Caenorhabditis elegans: one gene and its partners. The protein of the gene in region 2 interacts with the protein of the main gene of each other region in a biochemical or structural test. Each region holds a gene or a part of one and is shown on either strand. Other genes may lie near its edges.

Evidence for each region.
Region 1: of the proteins of plk-1 (region 2) and par-3, one has a biochemical effect on the other in vitro, tested with the Caenorhabditis elegans proteins (one study listed by BioGRID).
Region 3: of the proteins of plk-1 (region 2) and npp-19, one has a biochemical effect on the other in vitro, tested with the Caenorhabditis elegans proteins (one study listed by BioGRID).
Region 4: the proteins of plk-1 (region 2) and npp-10 form a complex in vitro, tested with the Caenorhabditis elegans proteins (one study listed by BioGRID).

Annotation. Positions count from the first base shown.
Region 1 is NC_003281.10:5,662,483-5,667,263, reverse strand, and holds the start of par-3 (PDZ domain-containing protein), read right to left. Parts: upstream 3,032-4,781; 5' UTR 2,961-3,031; intron 2,903-2,960; 5' UTR 2,893-2,902; coding exon 2,725-2,892; intron 2,319-2,724; coding exon 2,229-2,318; intron 2,176-2,228; coding exon 2,113-2,175; intron 1-2,112. UniProt on the Caenorhabditis elegans protein: In cooperation with pkc-3, required for establishing cell polarity and regulating spindle orientation in the early embryo. Localization is crucial for recruiting par-6 and pkc-3 to the peripheral apical cortex and restricting par-2 to basolateral surfaces.
Region 2 is NC_003281.10:8,099,458-8,104,608, reverse strand, and holds plk-1 (Serine/threonine-protein kinase plk-1), read right to left. Parts: upstream 3,262-5,151; coding exon 3,016-3,261; intron 2,969-3,015; coding exon 2,369-2,968; intron 2,126-2,368; coding exon 1,799-2,125; intron 1,753-1,798; coding exon 1,306-1,752; intron 1,257-1,305; coding exon 1,143-1,256; intron 1,095-1,142; coding exon 882-1,094; 3' UTR 540-881; downstream 1-539. Other genes in the region: K06H7.1 (uncharacterized protein), read right to left, coding at 3,971-4,115, 4,159-4,268, 4,311-4,451, 4,498-4,704, 4,750-4,881, 4,943-5,050, 5,100-5,132. UniProt on the Caenorhabditis elegans protein: Required for oocyte nuclear envelope breakdown before entry of oocyte into spermatheca. In meiotic cells, required for spindle dynamics and probably for spindle attachment to the chromosomes. Zygotic role in the development of the germline and nerve cord.
Region 3 is NC_003280.10:10,796,135-10,800,272, forward strand, and holds npp-19 (Nucleoporin NUP35), read right to left. Parts: upstream 2,346-4,138; 5' UTR 2,343-2,345; coding exon 2,269-2,342; intron 2,203-2,268; coding exon 2,129-2,202; intron 2,080-2,128; coding exon 1,807-2,079; intron 1,757-1,806; coding exon 1,365-1,756; intron 1,315-1,364; coding exon 1,130-1,314; intron 951-1,129; coding exon 884-950; intron 841-883; coding exon 760-840; 3' UTR 519-759; downstream 1-518. Other genes in the region: set-14 (SET domain-containing protein 14), read right to left, coding at 1-154.
Region 4 is NC_003281.10:6,013,549-6,021,369, forward strand, and holds the start of npp-10 (Nuclear pore complex protein Nup98), read right to left. Parts: upstream 6,015-7,821; 5' UTR 6,001-6,014; coding exon 5,787-6,000; intron 5,739-5,786; coding exon 5,538-5,738; intron 5,496-5,537; coding exon of another isoform or gene 5,490-5,495; coding exon 5,034-5,489; intron 4,988-5,033; coding exon 4,761-4,987; intron 4,716-4,760; coding exon 2,970-4,715; intron 2,922-2,969; coding exon 2,835-2,921; coding exon of another isoform or gene 2,820-2,834; exon of another isoform or gene 2,625-2,819; intron 2,550-2,624; coding exon 2,058-2,549; intron 1,936-2,057; coding exon 938-1,935; intron 891-937; coding exon 435-890; intron 385-434; coding exon 225-384; 3' UTR 1-224. Other genes in the region: Ubiquitin carboxyl-terminal hydrolase cyk-3, read left to right, coding at 6,664-6,736, 6,784-6,854, 6,895-7,048, 7,097-7,213, 7,263-7,499, 7,546-7,810. UniProt on the Caenorhabditis elegans protein: Nup98 and Nup96 play a role in the bidirectional transport across the nucleoporin complex (NPC). Required for the nuclear import of hcp-4 during mitotic prophase, this step is essential for centrosome assembly and resolution.

The DNA of each region.
Region 1 (4,781 bases), 2.4 Mb from region 2:
TCATTTATGTGTGCTCTTCGCTCCAAGACCCCCCAACAAGTAAGCCACGGTGGGGTTGCGCAAGGGCATCAAGAAGAGGAGCGGCTGAGAAAAAATGACGACAATCATCAGATCGAACGACAAATAGAAACAGAAACACTCGGAAGAGAAGGGAAGAGAGATAGAAAGGGGAAGATGTCTATATACACATCATTCCTAACCATTTCTTCTTATCTTCTCAATAGTTGGTAAAATGTCCATGATATTTGTTCTCGTCGCGAACAACAACAACACAAGCTGTTTATCAGTAAAGAAAAATACAAAAACCACCCGAAAAAAAGCTGCTTTCAGAACAGATGATTCGTAGTGGCAGCGGAGGATGGCGATAACATGAGATATGAGTGTTATGACATTGCATGTAGAATAGGGGGTGCTTTATTTCACGATGATGGCGAGGAGAGAGAGATAGAGATAGATGAACAACTTTAAGTGCTGCCAATTCACATGTTCTGGAGCTATTCGGAGGCCTTTGGAGTCAAATACAATAAGTTTGAAAGGAACAATAATTCAAGGTTTTCACATCACAATTTTCATTTTTCAACTGAAATTCAAAACTTCCACAATTATGAATAACGCCAAAGTTGTTCACAATTTTTGAATTGAAATTCAAAACCGAACAAAAACATTCCAAGGTGACTCACCATATTTTTTTAGTCACACGAAAACTTTGAGTTCTGTTCAATTTTCTTTTCGGCTGGGACTAAACACAGCTTTACATGTTACATGACCATAAAAACTGGATCAAATTAGTAAATGGAAAATTTATAAAGTCTGATACGGCTGAAAAAAAAACTCCTGCCTTTGAACCGTGCTCATCGTAATATCAAAAGTGTAGGCGGCGGGTTTAAAACTGGCGCCCAACTTCCTAACAAAACACTAATTTCTGCAATTGACTCACACTTTCTACTCGTACTCCTATTACACAACGTCCAACTATACATTCCATTTGATTAATTTCAAGTTGGTTGTTGCTGCTGATAATGATTATATCGTCCTCAACGTCAAATAAATCTAAATCAACAAAACTGAGAGAGAGAGAGAGAGAGAGATAACAAATCTTAAGCCTTCGAATAAATTCTTATCAGATTTATTTAGATCAACTGCCTGCCTACAGCGGAAAACTTAATTTACTGCGAAACGAATGCTACAACCTGCGCGAACAGGAAGCATGATGATCGACGACGATGATGATGAGGGGGAAGAGATTCGTACAAAATCCGCCATGAAGTGAACATGGTGAGAGACCAATGCATGTTATATAAACAAAAATCTACCAAGCGCGTCGAAATCAATCCGTTTATTGCAAATTGCAAAATCCAATCGGGACGAGGCGACGGCCTCCGGAATTTCCATGCCGCACAGCGTACGCCGATTAAAGTCAAATTCGACCAGAATCCATTTTGGAAATTAATCCCTCTTTGGCTAGGATTCGCTAGTTATGGTTGGTGGTCCAAGAGGAGAAAATTGCCTTCAATTTGTAGAGATTTTCAAGAAAATGAAGCGATCATTGGATATTCAATCAAGATAAATGTTTTACTGCTTAGTAAATATAAATTGGGATGATAACCACTAAGTCTTAATGTTTAAAGTGAGAAGATCAGGAGTAACTAAATAAAAATCCAAGAGCACCACAGTTCAACTCCACAAAATAGTAAAACTTTTTGACAGTCACTTATGAGAGAGAATGAAGAAATATCTATTATTTACAGTGTTGTGTGCCAACAACACACTGTAACACTGTCTGCGTCTCTTCCAAACTTTCTTTTTCTCCAAAGCGGAAAAGGAAGGGGATTATTTGGTGAAAATGAACAGAGAAATGGTATTCAACACATCCTCATCGGTGCGGCCTTGTTCTCAGCCGAATTAACCTCTCCGAGAAAACGAAAGGGGGCTGCTGCTTCTTCGGGAATGGAATAATATTGGAAGAGAATAAGACGAAGATAAAATTGCGTGCTTCTTGTTGATTTTCCTTTCATTATTCCCGACTGACTGTATTCATGGGAAAATTTGGGATACGCTTTTTTGCCTCCAAAATGACCTTTTTTCTGCAAATTTTTGGAGAAAAAAAATTACCATTCCCCTCGCTTTTTTGTACCGAAGAAGTGCTGCGTCTGCTAGTTGACCAACTGTCTGATCCTGAACAAGAAAAATATTAAAAAATTGATTGAACATTTGAAAAAAAAGCTCACCGATTCCTTCCATGGTACCACAATTTTCATTCGTCCAAATTGAACAGTGACTCGGCGAGTTCCATTCAGTGGAAGCGATTGATATTGGCTCTGAAAAATTAAAATATTGCTTATAATTATAAATTACAACCAAGGTTTCAAATATTCAATGGATTTCACATTTTTTAAAGTAAAAAATAATTCCAGATTTCGGTGTTATAATCGAAAAAGCCAGAAATTTCAAATTTGAAAAGGATCTTAAACTTTCCAACTCAAAAATAGAATGTGTACAAAATTCGGATTTTGACTTAAAAATTTGAATTTACAAAATCATTTTAAAATGCGCATTTTTGCAGTATGAAAATTTGCAGAAATGGAATTCTCAGCAGTTCAAGCATTTTTTTGAAACAAAAATCGGGTAGAACTGTTGACAGTTTGAATTGAAGATTTCTGAAGCGTGAATGAAAGATAATTCAAGATTTTTTCTCCAATTTTTAAGAAAAAAAAACTTCCGCACTCTATCAAGTGTAGATATTGAGGAATTCGCGTAACCACTCGCAATTCCGTACTGTTGCATTCGTTTTTTCAGTGTCGATTCACCCTCGTCGCTGCTTTTACAGCTTCCCGATGGTTCGCCACCTTCCGGACACGATGTGCTAGATGATGACGTGGATGAAGCCGACATGATGATCGATCTGAAAATGAGCAGATATAAAGAAAAATTAAATGAAATGAAAAGAAGTTTTAACAAACCAATCAACGTTTCTCCTCCCGAGAGGCTCTCTCGTTTCGCACCTATTTGCTCTGCGAGACCTTTTCTATCTGCAAGAAAATATATATTAGAGTGATAAGAAAATGATTGGTGTGTCTGTGAAGTAAGTAACAGTAAGAGAGAAAGAGCAAATGATTTAGTGTGCTCAGCGATGGAAAAAAGTTTGAATTTAGCGGGAAAACATTAAAATCTTAAAAATTTGTCCGAATTGCCCGCGCCAATTTTAAAAGGATACAAAAATTAGCTTTTTAGTGATTTTATTCTTGAGTTTTCAAATCTGTAATACAAAAAATTCAGCGTTTTAAGTTTTGTTTTTGCGCAGACAAATTCAGCTCGAAAAACAATATTCTGAAAAAAATCGGCCCGATTTCCGATTTCAATCGGATTTTTTCGTGTTTTCAAGATCTGAATAGCTTAATTGATCTTCTGGACGAGAATTAGTTGACGGAATGAGAAAAAACTCAAAATATCGCACATAAATCAATAGACAATCTAAAAATTTGAAGTTTTTGCAGATTTTAATTTTCAAAAAAAATTTCCCGCCATGCGATAGGTCTCGCCGCGAATGCGTACCGTACCCATCTGTTCCGAAAAATGATTACTGTATTTCTCAATTTCACAAGTCTACAAATTTTTTTAAATTTTATTTAAGAAAAAGCGGCCTTAAAACTGAATTCGCAGTCATCGCATTGCTCATCGCATAGCTAAATAATAAATGAATTTTTGATATCAAAACAAACAATGAAACCTTTGCTGGGAAAATGGGAGGACATTTCTGGAAGACAGAACGGGAGGAAGGTGGTTATCCAATTACATTTTTGGATTCTCTCTACTCTATTTTCTCTCTCAGTGCTCACCAAGGATTTCCAAATGTGCCTATTTTATTTCCACTTGGGCAATTTGTCAAGTGGAGAAGTCACACAGAGGATCCTCTAGAGAAGATGATGATCCATTATAATGAGCATGTTGGAGGAGACGAGTTTTTGGAAGAACACCGAGTTGTGCTGGGATGGATTTGTAAAAAAACAGGAAAGACTTGAAAATAAATTGCTCTACTTTTTGGGGAAAATTCAATTTTTCTTGGATTCGGAAAACCTTATTGTCGGTTTGTGATTTAAAATCAGACGCGGAATTTTGCGTTTTTCCAAAAATACGATACGAAAATGTTTTGTTAAATACATATATGTGGGGAACGCTATGAAAATTCAATGAAAATTCTTGAGCAACGAAAGTTTGAAATTACAGTACTCCTTAAAGGCGCAACCCTTTTCGCATTTAACAACAGTTTGTCGTGTCGAGACCGGGTACCGTATTTTCGGCGTAAAATAAACTAAAACCGACTATAGGTCACATATTGTGTACCATTACACTTTCTGATTGGCATTTTCCTAATGTAAAATGTCAAAAAAGAGAAGGTTGAGTCAGTGCGCACCAGCTGTATTGCACAAGAGTTAGAGAGCCATCACCTCATTGCATATGCCAACTTGACGCCACGACACACATATTTCATGAGATGGATTGGAGAAGCAAAATGACAAATTATAGTCGTGTCAATAAGTTATATGAAGTGGGTGCTGTCCCGACTATTAGTTGAGCTGGCAAACGACGAAATGAACAGAGATTGGCGCAGCGGTGCGCGATTGGATATTAGAAAAACAGTGAGTTACCAGCGGAGCTCGCGCGGCTTGTCAAATGCTCGGAGAGCCTGAATGGAAAAGCTCAAACTGAACAATCAACTTTTTGCACTTTTCTACGATTGCTTTTCCGAAAGTTTAAAAATCTACAAGAAAGATATTTTTAAT
Region 2 (5,151 bases):
CGCACACTGATCGGCAATCGGCAATTGGCGATCGCCGATTTTTTTTTGGCAATTTGTGATCGGCGATCGCCGAAAAAAAAATTTCATCGGCGATCGCCGATTTTTTTGGCCGGCTGCTCAGCTCTGCTCTAGATCTCTAGAAATCCAAAATTCAAGCAGAGAGCAAAAACAATTTAAACTATTGTATTTTTGATTTCATATAACAGTTTATGTCCAACTGTTACAGTAAAGCAGATCCCATTGGCATAATTTGAGACTATTTGGAATCGAACCTGTTTGGATATAAAATAAGTGACGGAAACTGTTCAGAGTGGCAAGTAATTAAACAGAACATTTGTTACTTTGCGACCGTGATCTTTGTAACAATCATGTTCAAATAATTGTCTCGGAATCAGTAAATATTATACACGCTTTTTCGAAAATTCTGAAATGGAAAGTTGAGGCAGATGAGCAGCTCAACTTGATTTTTCCCAATGTGCTGCTATCTACCAAAAATGAAATTGTCGAGAAAGTTTGGAAAAATGAAGAATACAGTTTAATAATCATCGGTACGTTTTATTTCGTGGGACTAATACCAAAAAAAGATGATTCAATTAGCAAAAAGAAATAAAAACGCAAAATAAAAATCGCCTCGCCCATGAATACAAACGAATGAAAAAGGGCTACAGCGGGTCTCATCAGTATTTACAATGAAATGAGCTACGGGAGATCGAGGACGGGGAATAAAGACATGTTGGATGCTGAAACATGGGACTAAAAGGGTCGATGAAAAACAGCAACAATAAATGAAGAGTACGGGTTAAATGTATAGAATAATACTTCTTGGAATTAATCAGGAGATGTAAGCAAATTCATGGAAGTGGCAAAGAGCACATACGGATCTATCGACGTGGGTGAATATTGGATCCACTTGCCGACTGGGGAAGGTGCGATGCAGCTTGATTTGGTCCTCGTGATCCTGCCGAAGCTGAACGAGCAGCTGCCATTGACCGTGGCATATCCGGTTGACGAGCTGGATTCTGGGATACAACGTTAGCATCGCTCATCAACCTTTCGATCATTGTCTTCGCATACTTCAGTCGGTGAAGGAATTTCTGTAAATTATACGTTATATTTGTTGATACTGAAATGGCGATTCAAACCTCTGGACATCCATTGCGCTGAAGATTGTTCAGCTTGTAGGTGAGCATACGCTTGTTTTGATCGATGAATGTAACTGCTTGCATTAATGGGCACATCATCATCTTGACATGATCCTGAAAATTATATTGTTGGGTGTTTCCATTAAATTATGAATTTGCTTACATTGAAGAAATTTATCTGAACAGTTCCATTGGAAAGGTGCAAAACAATTGCTGATTTGGTTCTGAACCAAACTCGAAGCGTTGGTAAACGAGCCAAGTCATCACCAGCTCTTTGTTCAGATCCTTCTCCAGCTTTCACCAAATGGTCATTCATGTAGGATCGAAAATACTTAAGCAATGTGACTTTCTTGTTGAGCAATCCAGGCATTTCACCTGAGTGCATCGAGAAGTAGTGCTCTTTGTTGCTCTTCTCAATATAGGTCAACTCGTTTCCAGCTTGATCAAGCATGATACGAGAATTGTCATTGAAGAGAACTCCGACGGAATTGTCACATAGTTGATATCCGATGCCATACTTGTCCGAATAGTCAACCCATTTCGAAATCCAGAAAACCGGGAGGCACTCTGGTGATTGATAACCATCAAGAGCAGCTTCTTCTTCTTCCAGCTGTAACAAACTTTTAATTTAAAAAAAACCTCTTGTTTATTCTTACCCCTGGAATACGCTGCTCTAAGAGCACAGCAACTTGGTGGAAAAGTTGTGAAAGGTATGCATCCTCGGGCTCCCGGAAAGTCGCCTCTGCAGCTTGTTGTTGAGCACGCTCACGATCGGCATTGTTCGACACGATGTGTTGTGGGAGGGCAGACAATCCAGCTCTTCCGTTCAATGGGCGTTGTGAACGAGCATCAACCCCTCTTGGAGCAACATTTTCCTCCATCATCGAAGTTTCGTGTCCTCCGAACTTTGGCACCATAGTGAGGCAGGAGACTGGAAGTCTAGTCGGCATGAATCCTGACTTGAAGAAGCCATCGCGTTGAACCTGTAGGGTTTTCATTCCGAGTTGAAGAGATTTCATAACTTATTTAAATATTCGAACTGATTTTTTAAAAATTGTTTTCGATCTCTTTACTAATTAGAACGAAGGGCAATCAAACTGAACGTGAACTATCTCTCAATAAAAGTTCACGATAAAATTCAAAAGTACAAATTTTCTAATGATGAAACTCGAATCTCCGATAATACTAAAATGATTTTCACTCCAGTTCAAAACTATTGAAATTACCTGCTTGGCAGTCGGACGACGTGTTGGCTCAGGATCAAGCATCTTGCGGATTAGGCTTGCTGCTGGTTGTGTTGCGATCGACGGAATGGTGTAGTTGTTGTGGCGAATGCGTGAGTATGTCTCTTCAAGCGATTTAGACTCGAATGGTGGTTGTCCGAAAAGAAGAATGTACAGAATGCATCCAACTGCCCAAATGTCAACTTCAAATGAGTGTCCAGCTTTGTTCAAAACCTCCGGAGCTATGTAGTTTGGCGTTCCACACAACGTTTTCTTTCTCTCATCACCGTTGACCGTTGTTGCTAATCCGAAATCTCCAATTTTGACAACTAGATCATCATTGAGGAAAAGATTTCCAAGCTTCATATCACGATGAATGATGTTCAGATCATGCAAATACAGCACGCCATCCACAATTTGATGAGTGAAATAACGAGCTTCAGGTTCGGTGACCGCCTTTCTTCTTTTGTGCAACTCCATCAGCGACCGTCTTGCACATAACTCCAAAGTGATATACACGTTGAGATTGTCCTCGAAGAAGTTGAATAACTTCACGATATTGATGTGTCCAAGCTCTCGATGAATCTGCACCTCTTGTGTCATCTGAAAAATCGTAATATGCACTGAACTAAGATTCGTTCATTGTCTACCTTATCTCTCTGGTATTGCTTGACGAGCATCGACTTCGGAACCACTTTTCCAGCGACAACCTCGCGTGTTGCTCGATTCGTAAGCTCATAACAGTGAGCGAATCCTCCCTTGCCCAAAAATCGTCCTTTCTCATAATAGGTCCCACGATCCTTGTCGGCGATGAGAGCGGGAACCTCTGGTGGAGCCTTCTCCTTTCTTTGGTTGGACTTTTGTGGGGGTTTTGCAATGTTGGGAAGTCGATTCATCTGAAATGCAACACAAAAATTAAAATATTCAGTATTAATAATTGAATAAACGTTTTTATTTCTAAAAATGACAAGAGGCGAGCTGGAAACTTGAAAAAGAATCGGTAAAAGTCATTTTAGGACGAAAATGGCGGACGGCAAATTCGAATGTTGATGCTTGGCGGGCGCAGGTCTCGCAGCGAACCGTGTGTCGATTTACGCGCCGATGAAAAAGGGTGCTAAACAAAACAGCGCGCTGTCATCGATCAAACATTTTCTGGTCAAACATAAATATCACGGAGACATTGATTTAAAAAACGGTTTTAAAAATTGAAAAATTTATTATTCAATGTACTTTCTGCAATAATTTTGTACATTAATGTTTTAAAAATTAGCAACGAACCTTTTTGGGCTTGTAACAGAACATTTGCACGTGTGTTAAACGATGCCAGATGTTAATAAAAGAAAAATTAATTTTAAATGGATTAATACGTATATTTTATGGCGTACGTAATACATTTTTACCACGTGTCTTCCACGTCTTACCGTCATTTGGAGAGAAGGCAGCTTCTCTTTTTGGATTAGTGGTAAGTTTTCGTGGTTTACACGCCTTTCTTTGACGATTAAAATGGATGGAAAGAGATACTATAACAATTTTATTTAATACATGAGATAGGATATTTAGCTTCAAAAACACTATATTTCCAAGACGGCATCTCAAAACATAAAATTATGAAAACGCAACAATGTTATACGGTTTGAAATTGTCAGTTGAATCTTTCAAAACCAGCAAGGACGTTTTCTTGTTATTCTCATCTGGAACACTGTATACATCAACTGGCTCGAAGCACTCAGTTTTGACATCAAAGCGCTCTCTGAAATTAATTCTAGTTTGCCTAACATCAGTTTTCTGCTCACTTTCTATCATAATTCGTACACTTCAAATCTCCTGTGACTTTTTCAACATTCACGTGTTTAGTGAAAAACCATTCTAGGACAACAAATTGATCATTTAAGCTGAGACGTTTCTGAAAAATAACAATTCTTCATTCCATGATGATTTTCAATACCTTTATCGCATGAGCAACTATATTTTCATCAATTCTGTCCGAATAAAAAGAAAAATTTGGAATTGCAATACACAATGCTAGAAATTGGTCGGTTGAGAAAGAACAGTGCTCCATAATACTCAGTGTTTTGCAATTTTGGAACTGAAAATGTATTGTACCAAAAATATTCAAAAATAAACATACTTACATGTGGAAGATCAAATATCTTGGACGGAATATCAAGTGGATATTCTCCATGAGGAGCAATACACAGCTCATTTAGAGAGTTCGGATCAACTCTTTCAATCCACCACTCCAACATTTCCAGAGATTCCATTTTTAGAAAAAGCCTTCTAACGATGATTTTTGGAATGTTCAAAAGCTCATTCGAACTACAAATACATTTGCTTGCTTTCTGAAATATCAAAATACGCGGAATTCAGATTAATTTTTTAACTACCAAGTCTATAAAAAGCTCGTCAAGCCTATAATTACAAGCTTCCAATCTTTCCAAAAGAACTCCTGAAATTTCAATCTCCGGAACTTGGAGATCTTTCATTTTTCCTAGTCGACTTGTATATACAATTGTAATCTAAAAATTTATGATTTAATTAAAATATTATGAGGAATGTGATTATTTTCAATTTAAAAACCTGTTCATCACCAGAGCTTATAATTTTCAGTGAATATCCTGAATCTTGCATTAAATTCTGGTCATTGGTCTCTTGATATTTCCCACGACAGTTGTATTTATTCATTTTCTAAATGAAAAAATTTCTAGTTTATTGCAAAGATCGAGTCAAACTATACCTGTTTAATTCCACACATCCGTGATAGAAATCCCTTAAAAAAGTAAATTTTC
Region 3 (4,138 bases), on a different chromosome or scaffold from region 2:
ATTCTTGTGAGCAATAAGCAAGCCGTCGGCAGGCGCTGCACTTTTTGAGTTCTGCCATACTCGTAAGGCATTGATTACAATATGATTCGACTTGATCTCGTGCAAGAGCAAATGCGTACACATTTTCGTGGAGGGCGTCTGGGGGAAGATTCATTGGGAACTGAAAGAATTATTTGAATAATTTTTTTTTAACGGGTTTTTTAAAATTAAATTTTATAAAAAAAATTAAATTTAAAAAAAACTTCATCGATTGTAAATAATTTTCTGAAATTAAAAATTGAAGAAAATGAGAAAAATCGATAAAAGAATCTCTACAGTATTTTTAAAGGCACACACCCACACACAATTTTCAATGTCATTCGTGCCGAGACCATTCTGCAATAATGCGCCCTTCTTTAAACTCATAGAAGTGAATTTGTTTAATCGATGTTTTTCAGTCAATAAAGCCTCATTTTTTGAAAAAATATTTTTTTCGAGTATTAGCAACTCGTCTTCTATAATCGACAATATAAAAATATGAGTTTTCTTCATTTCAATTCATAGAATCAGTTTTGAATGGGAATGGAATGGACGGGAAGAAGGGAAGGAAAAATGTCCGAAAATTGAGAATACACCGAAATAAATAAAATTATTTTGAGAACGAAAAACCGTGAGAAACGAAACTGTTTTCAGAAATTCGAAAAAGAAGGATACACAACAAAAGAAAAAAATGGTGAAATAAAACAGAAAAATGGGCGATATTTCCAATGAGCAAAAAGATTAGTTGAGTCCGATCGTGTTCCAGAACTTGTTGAGCAATCCGTCAGGTGCCTTGCGAACCGATGGGGTTCCCTGTAAAATCTTTTTTAATTGGTTAGAAGGATTGAATCAATGAAATGCTTACGTTTGTTCTTTGATCGGCAGCCAATGGTCTCATTCCGACACCAGAACGGACGGAAATACGAGAAGAACTGAAAACATAAACAATTTTTTGTGGAAATATTAATTGAATTGTGAAAAATTAACTTTTTCTTTTTCACATTTTCAAAGTGGAGTAGCGCTAGACTACAAACTACAAACTTCGCTTTAGCAGATTCAAGTATAAAATTTAGATTTTTATGAATTTTTTACTAAAAATTTCTAATCATACTTGAGCGAGTTATTTGCATCAAAAACATTCGACGAGTTGAGCACACTGTTCTCATTGTGATTAACTGATTGATCGGCCATATCGTTCTCCACAAATGAGTTATACATGGAAGCAGATCGGTTTGCAGCTGCAGCAATGTTAGATGATCGAGCAACAATTCCGGATGCTGAGCCGTTGATCACGTCCTGTAAATTTTAAAATTAAAATAAAAAATAAATATATCCTTTTTACTTACCTTATTTGTGCACTGAACGACTCCAATAAATGTATCCTGATCGAGGAGAGTTCCGTTTCGAGAAATAGCTTGTTGAGCGTGTGTGACACACGAATAGCGCATATGTATGAAGTTTCCTTTTGATGGAGTCTGATGACTAACTACTTCCCCGTGCCGCGAGAATAAATTCAACAAAATCGACACTTGGCTTGGCTGAAATCCAAAAACAGTGACCCAGGTATCAGCTGCGTCGGCTTCTTCTTCCATTGGTTGTTCTTCTGCTTCAGCCAACCTGGATGTGACTCGTTGAGTGATTGGAGTGGAAAGTGGTGTTGATCTGGCAGTGAATGTATTTCGTCTGGAGATCTTTTTCGCTGGTTCAACTTTGTCGCGAAGAGATCGAAGAGGTGGTGCTGAAAATCAATTTTATTTTAAATATTCGCGAAAAAATGTAAATTCTAACCATGCATCGCTTGACCACCGAAAGATGATGTCTGAATCGACTGAGGAGCTGGCTTTGTCGGCGCCGAAAATGATGAATTTCCTCCGAAAGACAAGTTGGCAGGTGTATTCTGTGTTTGTGCCGCCGACTTTTCACCAGATTGCACCAAAGATGGAGACCAATGAACTGATTTAGAGCCCGGTGTATCCTTCAAATGCTGCGGCACTGCCGGTGCAGAAACAGCGAAAATATCCGAACATGGTGCCGATGCAGTGTTGAGCGGGCTAGCGGTGTCTAAATAATTATCATATTTTTGAGAAAACTTAAGATAAACTTTACTTACACGAAGATGGAACAGTTGCCTTTCGCTTTCCGAAAAGAAGTGCCGGCGTAGACTGTTCAACTGGTGTCCCGAAGCTAAAATTAGATTTTTAGTATTAAAAACTGGTTTTTTTTTTGCAAAATAAGAAACAAATTACTCACTTTGAAATACTAGAATTGTTGAGATCCATTGAGTTATGCCTTCCGGATGTATTTTGGTTAAGATGCGAGAACATGGCCTGAATTTCGAAATAAAATGCTTTTTAATTAAAAATTTAAGCAATAAACAAGTTTTTCAAATTTAAAATAAAGAAAGAATTGAAAAATACCGCTTTTTTAAAGTGGAAAACAGGTTCGAAAAGTTCCAAGAAAAAACATTTTTGTTTGAAAAATCAAAGTCCGCAACGACAAAACACGCAAAGCTACGCGCAATTGCGGACTTGAAAATGGAGGGAGTTTAAAATAGGGTTTTTGTGGTGAAAGTTTGCTGGGAGGTTTTCTGCGGGAAATAAAGAGAAAATTTTTTTTCTCTGATCGGATGTTTTGTAATTTTGATGAAGTCGATTTTCTGTTTGAACTTTGATTTTTTTTCTTCAACACTAGACACTGAAAAAAGTGAAATTCGTGTATGGGTTACTGTATAATACCGCCGACCCCTATAGTACATACCTATCCATAAAATATTGAATTCTAAAAAATTCTAGAAATTTAATTACACATTTCAGATGTTTTTGTTTTTATTTCCCTTTGACCTACTCCCTCGTCTAATTTTCGTTTTCAAATTTCAACGAGCACCACTCGTTTCTTCTCACTCCTCCTCGTTTTAATTGCAAAAAAAAACGGAGAAAATTGAGAAATGCACGACGACGGGGTCCCCCATTTAATTAAATTCCTTTTCTGTGTCGTCGACCTTTTTTTGTTGACCACACAGAGCACAACGTTCGGAGAGCTTCTTCCCGCCTCTTCATCAAATAAAATGAGAATTCATTCCTTTTTTGGGAAAGAAAAATGTTTCGTCGCGCACGACTATATAGCCCCCTGTGTCGTATAATATTTGCGGGTTGGTCAAAATGAGAAAGAAAAAAAACCAAAAGATGATGAATTGAATGAAAATTGTATTTAATATTAGTTTTCGGACCGAACCGGATGTAATTTATTTTCAGAAAATGTGGTTGGTTCTGACTGGAGCAGAAGTGGCGACCTGATGATGTAGTCAAACTTGCGCGTCAAATTTGGTGTTTTCGCCCCGCCTCTTAGAAGATGAGATTTTGATTTTTGAACTGAAACTTTCAAACTGTGATTCCCATAAAACCGTACGGAAATTACAATTTCCGTACTGTTACAAAACAAATTTTGGGATAGAGGGAATTATTACGTAGACGTCAAAATTGGGAAAATTTCGTAAAATCTTAGGTCTCGCCACGCCGAGTTACTGTAACTCGTCTCCATTTACGGGTAGCATAGTATCATAATTTTCAGATTTAATCGAAAATTGCTGTCAAGAATTTGAATATAATATTAAAAATGGCACAATATTGGTCCAGTTACAGTAACCCAATTTCAGCGTGGTGAGACCCGAAAACTTTCATCTTTAGACTACCACGTAATAACAGAAATTGAGAATAGAAAACGATGGTATTGGCCACACCCACATAACCGTGCGGAACTTGCAGATTTTGCAACCTCCGCAAGGTTCATTGAGCTCTCATTCTCATAACCGTGCGGAGGTTGCAAAATTTGCAATTTTCGCACACTCTTCTTCTCGTGGAGTACACATTCTCCGATTTCGAAATTTAAGAAAGTTTTTGGAGACGAGGTCACCTGGCAACGGGATCTATGAAGACTAGCGGAAGAACATTATAGCAACGATTCGTTTTTTTTTCGGCAATGTGTCCCAAGTGCATCCCTTTCCATCATTTTTCTTTTTTTATTCTACTCATCGTTCCATTCCACTTTCTTGTGTGTACGACAGCATTCATTCAATCCTAATTGGATGTGATCCTTCTGTGCCCCCCTCACTCACTCAACAAGT
Region 4 (7,821 bases), 2.1 Mb from region 2:
CAATTTATCGTTTTGCTGATTTCTAAATTTCTGTACTAGTTTTCTCATGTGAATAGAACACAACAGTAATAACATCCTACAAAAAGTTCATATTCATAGTAATAAAAAGACGATTCGGGAAATGATGATATACGAGGAAGACAGACGGAGAGGGCAGGAAAATGTAAATAAAAAAAATAAAATTAGAATCAGGTGAAAAATGAATAAATTAAAAAGTGGCTAGTCTAGTCAAATTCAATTGTGAATCTTTCGATTCCCCAAGACGAACGATCACGGAAGATCTTAAACATTTGCCGATGTCCGAGAAGCTTTGTCCACTCTGGAAGTGTATTCTTATCAGCACGGTACTCGAACAAAACACGTCCAATTGTTTGAAGAGAGAGCCTGAAATTATATAAATAGTTTTAAAAAAAACTTATGTCCCAATAGCTTACTTTTGAAGACTGTTCTTGCTGATTGTAGGAGCATGTAGACGAGTTTCCAGACTTTCAAGCACGTCCTGTAAGAGTTCTTCTTCCGCATCATTTTCGATCAAATTGATCAATCGGCAATAATCAGTGTAGACCATTCCAGTCGCACCCCACTCGGGAATCTGATTTTCGAAAGGACGAACCATCGCGCATGCTGCTTTGAGAGCGTCATGATCTCCAGCTACAACTGCAGTTGGTGCAATATCATCCACAAATAAGCGACAAATTTCCAGATAGTTCTTTGCAGCCACAGCCAATTCGAAAAGTTGGGTAGAATCATCGACTGACTTTGCAATTGAGAATTGAGCATCAGCAATCCATTCCGAAGGAATATCGAACTGTTCGGAAATAGAATCAAACATATCATTGTCGGTGAAACGAGCAATACGGTCGAGGAGGGAACGAACTGCTGTTGATCTTCTGGATAAATATATTTATAAATTGAAAGATTCTAAAATTCAACTCACTCTTCATCATCATCAATGTGCTGCAAAACAAACAATGCATATTTTGAGAGACTTGATGCTTCCAATTGAGATGAATAGTTTCTGTGAAGTCTTGTTTCCGAAGTCTTTGACATTGTACGGTATCCAACCGAATAGAGCAAGCTCCATACGTGCCATTGAAGGAAATAATCGTTGGGATTTTCTCCAGCTGCACAGTCAAGTACAACTTCCACTGAGTGCTGTGATTCACATGCCAATTTGATGAGTTCTCCGGGCAGATCTCCACGATTAGAAGCGGCACGGCCAGCATTGACATCTTTCTGATAAGCATCGTAAGATTCTTCTAGACCAGTCCATGCACGAAGATACCAGACATGCAAACCGAGTGCTTGAATCCAATTGAGTCCATCAAGACAGTTGATCGAATGATTCTTTCCGTCTTGATCCCATTCGTAGTGTGATAGTCCTGACATCAGAACATAGCATTTGAGAGTTTCCTTCGGAATCAAATGAAGAGTTTCGCATTTCTTCCAGTTGTCAAGTTGTGCTTTAAAGCAATGAACAGTAGCTTCTGGGCACACAGCAGAAGTCTGAAGCATCGTAGCAAGCTGTGGCTGATTATTATCAATCGCAATTTGAAAAGCTTTATCGATGTCTCCAAGACAGAGTTGATTCCAAACACCATTTGAAGATGTATCCGCACTTCTATCGTCTGGAACAGACTTCACTGCTTCTGTTCTAAGCCATTCTCCAATTTCTTCACCACGCTCGAAAGACCATCCTTCTCGACGTTCATATGGGAATAGAGCAGATATCAACTTCCAAACAGAAACATGTCCATCATATCCACCAGCTTGAGCGACATCGATGTACTTGGCAAACATGGATGAATATGAGTCAGAATAAGTGACGAAGTTAGAAGTGAGCGAAGATTTAACCGAGTTGGATTGTGAAGATGGACCCTTGCGACTGGTTTCAGATACATGAACATTCACATCAAGCATTGAGATTAGCGTGTTCTGAAAATTGATTAAATTAAAAATGGGCCATAGAAGAGAACGGTGTAAAAAAGTACTTAGAAATCCAATTGACAAATAGACTGTAAATCACAGAAGGGCTTTTATAAAGTCACAAATATTACCTCATTCACGTCCGATGTTCTATCAATTGTCCCAAAGAGTACTTGATTGTGTCGGGGTTGAGCTGACCACACAAGACATCCAGTTTCACTCCATCCGACATGTGAACTTCTTCCCTTCACAATTCCTATATCAATCAGTTTGCTCTTTCCATATCCAATCATTTTAGCAGAGTGTCCACCACCGTGGAACCGATGAGCTGGGTCGTTGGCCTTCGGCATGACTTTCAGTTCCTGGAGATTGCGAATGAATCGACTGCTTTCGTATTCCAAATCAGCGAGAAGTTCAAGTTTCGGCTTCTTTTCCGGCTGCTGACCTTCTTCAATAATTGAATCATGACCACTTTCATTGAATTCGGTGGTCATATTTCCGATGCATGATTCTTCTCGACTATCATCCAATGTTCCACCACCAAGACCTTTTCGGTTAACACGACGAATGATCGGCACAACATCACCTAATGCAGCAGGTGCCGGAACTCGTTCCAGAATTATCTGAAACAAATAACTGCTGATGGCTCTCCATATTAAACCCTAAACGGTCTGTCTACCAATACCATTTGAAGAGGCTAATTTTAAAAACAAATTTATTGAGTTAGAAAAGAATAAACGAGAATAATTTGAGTCTTTAGCCTGCCCTAGATGGTATTGGCAAGCAGTCATGTGAAATGCTAAGAATGAAAGCAGAAAATTTTTAAATGAAACAGCAAAACGTTTAGAAGGAAAATTAAAATACGGTGATGATTGAATTATAGTGAGTGACAATCATTCAAAACGGACCTCTTGATGGTGAGCATCCGTTGCCTTGTGCACCTTCTTTCTTTGCACTTGATTGTTCACGTCTCGAGCAGATGTATTCATGTCGATCTGGAAAACTATTTGTGTAAAAGGGTAAAATGAGTTTTAAAAATTTACCACTTGTAATGGAGAAGATGCCTGTAGTGCTTGCTGTGGAGGGGACCCATCCATTGGCTCATCATCGTCGGCCAATCCATACTTGCTGAAATGGTCCACACGGAAGACCCAGCTTCCAGTTTCTGCACGAAAATCTTTGAATGCGGCTCCCATCCGAATCGTTTGTCTCTCGAGATGCTCGCGCCAACCAATCTCGGAGAGTTTCACGACATCTCGCACTTCTTTCTTGGTCTTCTTATCAGTGTACCATACTCTTTCGAGTGTCACTTCTGCTGGCCTATTCAGTTCTTGACCTTCTGGAGCTTTCTCTTCTTCATTCGGATAAACCGTCACCTCGCGATGACGAAATACAACAATCTCGTCGAGAGCAACATCTTTCAGCTCGACTCGTCCTGGCCAGTAGACACTTCCGTACGACGATCTTCCAACTGTCAATCCATCCTCCAACACAACACGTCCGTTCTTGATCATGTTCTTCATCTCATTGATTGTCGGAAGAGAAAAGTAGTCGGGCTTTGTAAGCTTCACTCCTGCTGCCGAATTGACATTAACAGTTTCTTCAGAAGGCGTCGACACAACAGATGCTGCTGAACTAGTTGCAGCAGACACCGGCTCCAAGCCAGTGTGCTCATCGCATGTCGTATCCAAGTTCAACGATGGTGGATCTCTATTTCTGTCATTATGTCTCTGGATTACAGCCTGAACGGGGTCAACTGCTGGAGTGGAAGTGACAACGTCTTGACGTCTTTCGGATTCAGAGATTCGAGGAAGAGCATCTGGATCAGCTACACGGGATTCTCTTCCAACTCTCGAAGAATCTGCGAGCAGAGACATGTCCAACTGCTTCAAATTCGATCTTCTCACGGATCCACGAACTCCAAGACGATTTGAAGTTCCATTCATGGAAGCATCCAGAGCTGAGTCGATAGTTTTGTCGAGGGCACTTGATTCGTGAACACTTCGATTTGTCAGCGACATATTCGGATTGAATGTGCTGTTTCGAAGTCCGCGAGCAAGTGATGGTGGCGCTTCTTTGGAAGTGTAGTTCAAATCTTTGGTGACATCGGCTGACCTGGTAACTGCTGGAGAAAGATCACTCATCACTTTGCTGATTGGTGGAATGATAAACGACGAATCTTGTGCATCAGAAGACGATGACAGAGCGCCTTTCTTCGCAGCAAGGAATCTCAGCTGTCGTTGAGTACTAGCCGGCGAAGACTTCCCATCAATTTCTGGATTCGCATTGTATTTGAGTAGTGGTGAATCACCATACGGCGCATTTGTCAACTGCGACTTCAATGACTTCATGTTTGCTTGCATCTGGAGGACATCAGCCGTAACGCCAATCACAGGTACCGGGGCCACTTGTTGTTGCATTACAATTTGCGGTTGAGCAAGATTTCCGAATCCAGTATTCAACGGCTGTGTAGCTTGAGTGTTTGAACCAAACAGTCCTCCTGAAGAAGCTTGTGGCTGGGAACCAAAGAGACCGCCGCCTGTTCCAGTATTCGTCGTATTTCCGAACAAACCACCTGGCTTTGCTGCATTGTTTCCAAACAATCCACCTCCGGTATTTGTGGAACCGAAGGCATTTGTAGTTGTTGGCTGAGTGGCTCCAAATGTGAAGCCGGTACTTGTTGCAGGCTTCGCACCAAATAACGAACTGCCAGTATTGGCTGTCGAAGTATTTCCGAAGAGACTTCCACCGGTGTTTGCAGCAGCCGGCTGACCGAAAGCATTTGTCGCCTGAAAATTAATAAAATATTGAAATTCTAGGATATCTTAACTCACCGCTGGGGCACCTCCGAAACTGAATCCACTCGATTGTTGCTGTGGTTGTTGCTGAGCTTGGCCGAAGAGTCCGGTACCAGTCGTCCCCGTGTTGCCGAACAGGGACCCAGATTGATTTTGATTCTGTGTATTCCCGAACAACGATCCACCAGTATTCGTCTGTGGTTGTTGATTGCCGAAAAGAGACGATCCAGTTGTCTGACCGAATGTTGAAGCTCCTGTTGTAGCTAAGTTTAAGGTTAAAAATTGTGTTGATGCTAGATTTATTCTTACCTGTAGATCCGAACAGTGACGAGCCCGCTGGTTTAGCTCCGAAAAGAGATCCACTTGCAGCAGACGTGTTGGCGTTGTTGTTACCGAACAATGAACTTCCAGTGTTTGCTGTGCTCGTGTTCCCACCAAATGGAGATGACGTCGAAGCTCCCCCGAACAGAGAAGTCTTCTGTTGAGCATTACTTGATCCAAAAAGCCCACTGCTTCCAGCTTGGTTTGTTGTGTTGGATGCTCCAAAAAGCCCACCGCCAGTGGAAGTCGTTCCTGTTCCGGGAGCCTTTCTATTTGCAATGTAATCCTCCACTCGGAGCTCTTCAATACTCTTTCCATCGTACTTCGACATTGCAGAAATGCACATGTGCTTCGTGGAAATTGTCTGAGTTGTCCCATTTCTCATCATAGTATCAGAACTGATCGGTGGCTCAAACTTAACAGTGGTTCCAGATACGGTCGATGCTGAAGCTGATACAAGATTAATTTATTTATCGAAAATCAATTGTTTACCTCCAAAGAGACCTCCACCAGATGGTGCATTATTATTGGAACCAAAAATGCTGCTGGTTCCAGTATTGTTAGCGTTGTTACCGAATAGGGAACTGCTTGCGGGAGCTGCTGAAGAAGTTGACCCAAAGATACTTCTGTTGGCATTGTTCTGCCCTCCACCGAACAATGAACTCTGGTTGTTCTGAGGCTGCTGCGGACTTCCTAAAATATTAAAATAAATCAAACGCATACAATTATTGATCAAAATACCGAATATGCTGGAAGTGTTGCTGGCCGCTCCGAAGATTGATCCTGCCGGCTTGTTCTGTGCCGCCCCGAAAAGGCCAGTAGTTCCACTGTTATTGGCTGGCTGACCAAACAATCCTTTGTTTTGATTGTTCTGGTTGTTTTGTCCAAATAGACCGCTCCCAGAGCTGCCACCGCCAAAACTCGATGAGCCGAATGATTTGTTCTGGCCGAACATTTAGCTGAAACTTGCAATTGATGAGACGGTTATAGATGAAGCGATGAGCAAGTAATAATTTGCAGTGAATGAAAGGCGGTTGTCATGAACATTCTGCTAAGAGCTGTCACAAGTTTTCATACAACCAAAAAGATAGCATTTACTTGAAAATGTACTTTAGGATTTCCAAATCGGAATTACTCTACACTCAAATTGCACGCTAATGCGACTAGACGGACATTGATTGATTGATCAGGTTACAGGTACATATTTATGACTGAAAATGTGCAAGAATAACACAAAAAATGGGAGAACAACTTCTACAACCAAACTCGAGATGAAAAAATGAGCGAAATGATTTCGAATGCAAAAATTTTTTCGAAGTGATTCTGAAATCGCAACAGAGCGAGTTTGCATTATACACCCTGCGTCTCTTAAGTTCACACACTGTCTCACTGCGCGAGGGTTTTTGACAGTTCTCGACAAGTCTTTTATTTTTTCCCGCAATTCGTGTTTTTTCGTGGGGTTTATTGGAATAAACTGTTTTCCATAATCGTTCTAAAGTCGGTCTCCACTGAAAAACTTTTACAAATGCTTTTCTTTTCAAATAAATTGATTTTTACATTTTTTCTTTCAGATTCGGCAAGAAAATCTGGTTCAGATGCTCAAATGCCATAATCCGAAATGGGTAACACGTTAACTGGACGTTCGAACGCTATCGCACCGATTATCAGTGCGGAAGATGCTAAAACTTATAGTGAGTTTCAGGGATGTTACAAAACAAACATAAACTCAAATTTTTAGTATCGGACGAGGAGTATCGACGAATTCGCCAAGCTTTCCAACGCTTCAAAAATGGATGCATTAATTATGACGTAACTGTTTTTAATTATTTTTTTAACTTCACCATTTAAGGAATTCTGCTATCATGTTCTCGGAGGCGCGCAGATACCAGAAGAAAAACGACGCCTGCTGTTCAGCTTCTTCTCTCATGGCGCTGAAACCATTTCCTTTGACAATTTGCTTTCATCTCTTGTTGGATTGTGTAGAGTAGAAGAAGTACAATCGAGTCAGTCAAGAAACATTTCAGAAATAATATTAAATTATTTATTTTCAGGGTTTATCGAAGAATATCACGAGTTCGCGTCATGGGGATTGAGTCCTCCTAAGCTTACGATTCCGCTCAATGATTCCTATATCTCATTTTACGAAGTGATGTCTTATGTGACGCATTGTAAGATTTAAATTATCTTGATTTCCGTATTTCAAAAACCATTTTTCAGTATCCGTGAACGAGGTTATCGAGTTAGAGAAAGTGTTCGCCACGATCAGTGATCGAGCTGTCTGCAAACTGAATGAAGAGAAGTGGAAACAAGCATTGGGTGGATGCTTCCCGGATAGTTATGCTGAGAGATTATTCGCTGTTTTCGATGAGAATCGAGATGGTCAAATTGACTTCAGAGAGCTCGTTTGTACACTTTCGGCTCTTTGTCGTGGACCTCTACCAGGGAGAATTTCTCGTGAGTTTTTAAGAAATTATTTTGAGAAACTAAAAAGTTGTTTTAGAGTTGGCACGAATCTGGGACGTCGACTGTGACAAACTTCTGTCTGACGAAGAACTTTCTAACATGTACAAAGATCTTAATGTCCCAGAAGAACATCAGACTGTCACAAAATCATCGAATGGGAAATCTGCTCTCGTTGATTTTGGAATATGGGCACAGGAAAACGAAAAATATGTCAATGAATATTATTCTATGGCTCTTCAAATCGGACACATTTGTCTCGGATTGAGACCAGAGTCACGGAAAATGGAATTACAAATTGTGAAGTTAGTGTAGC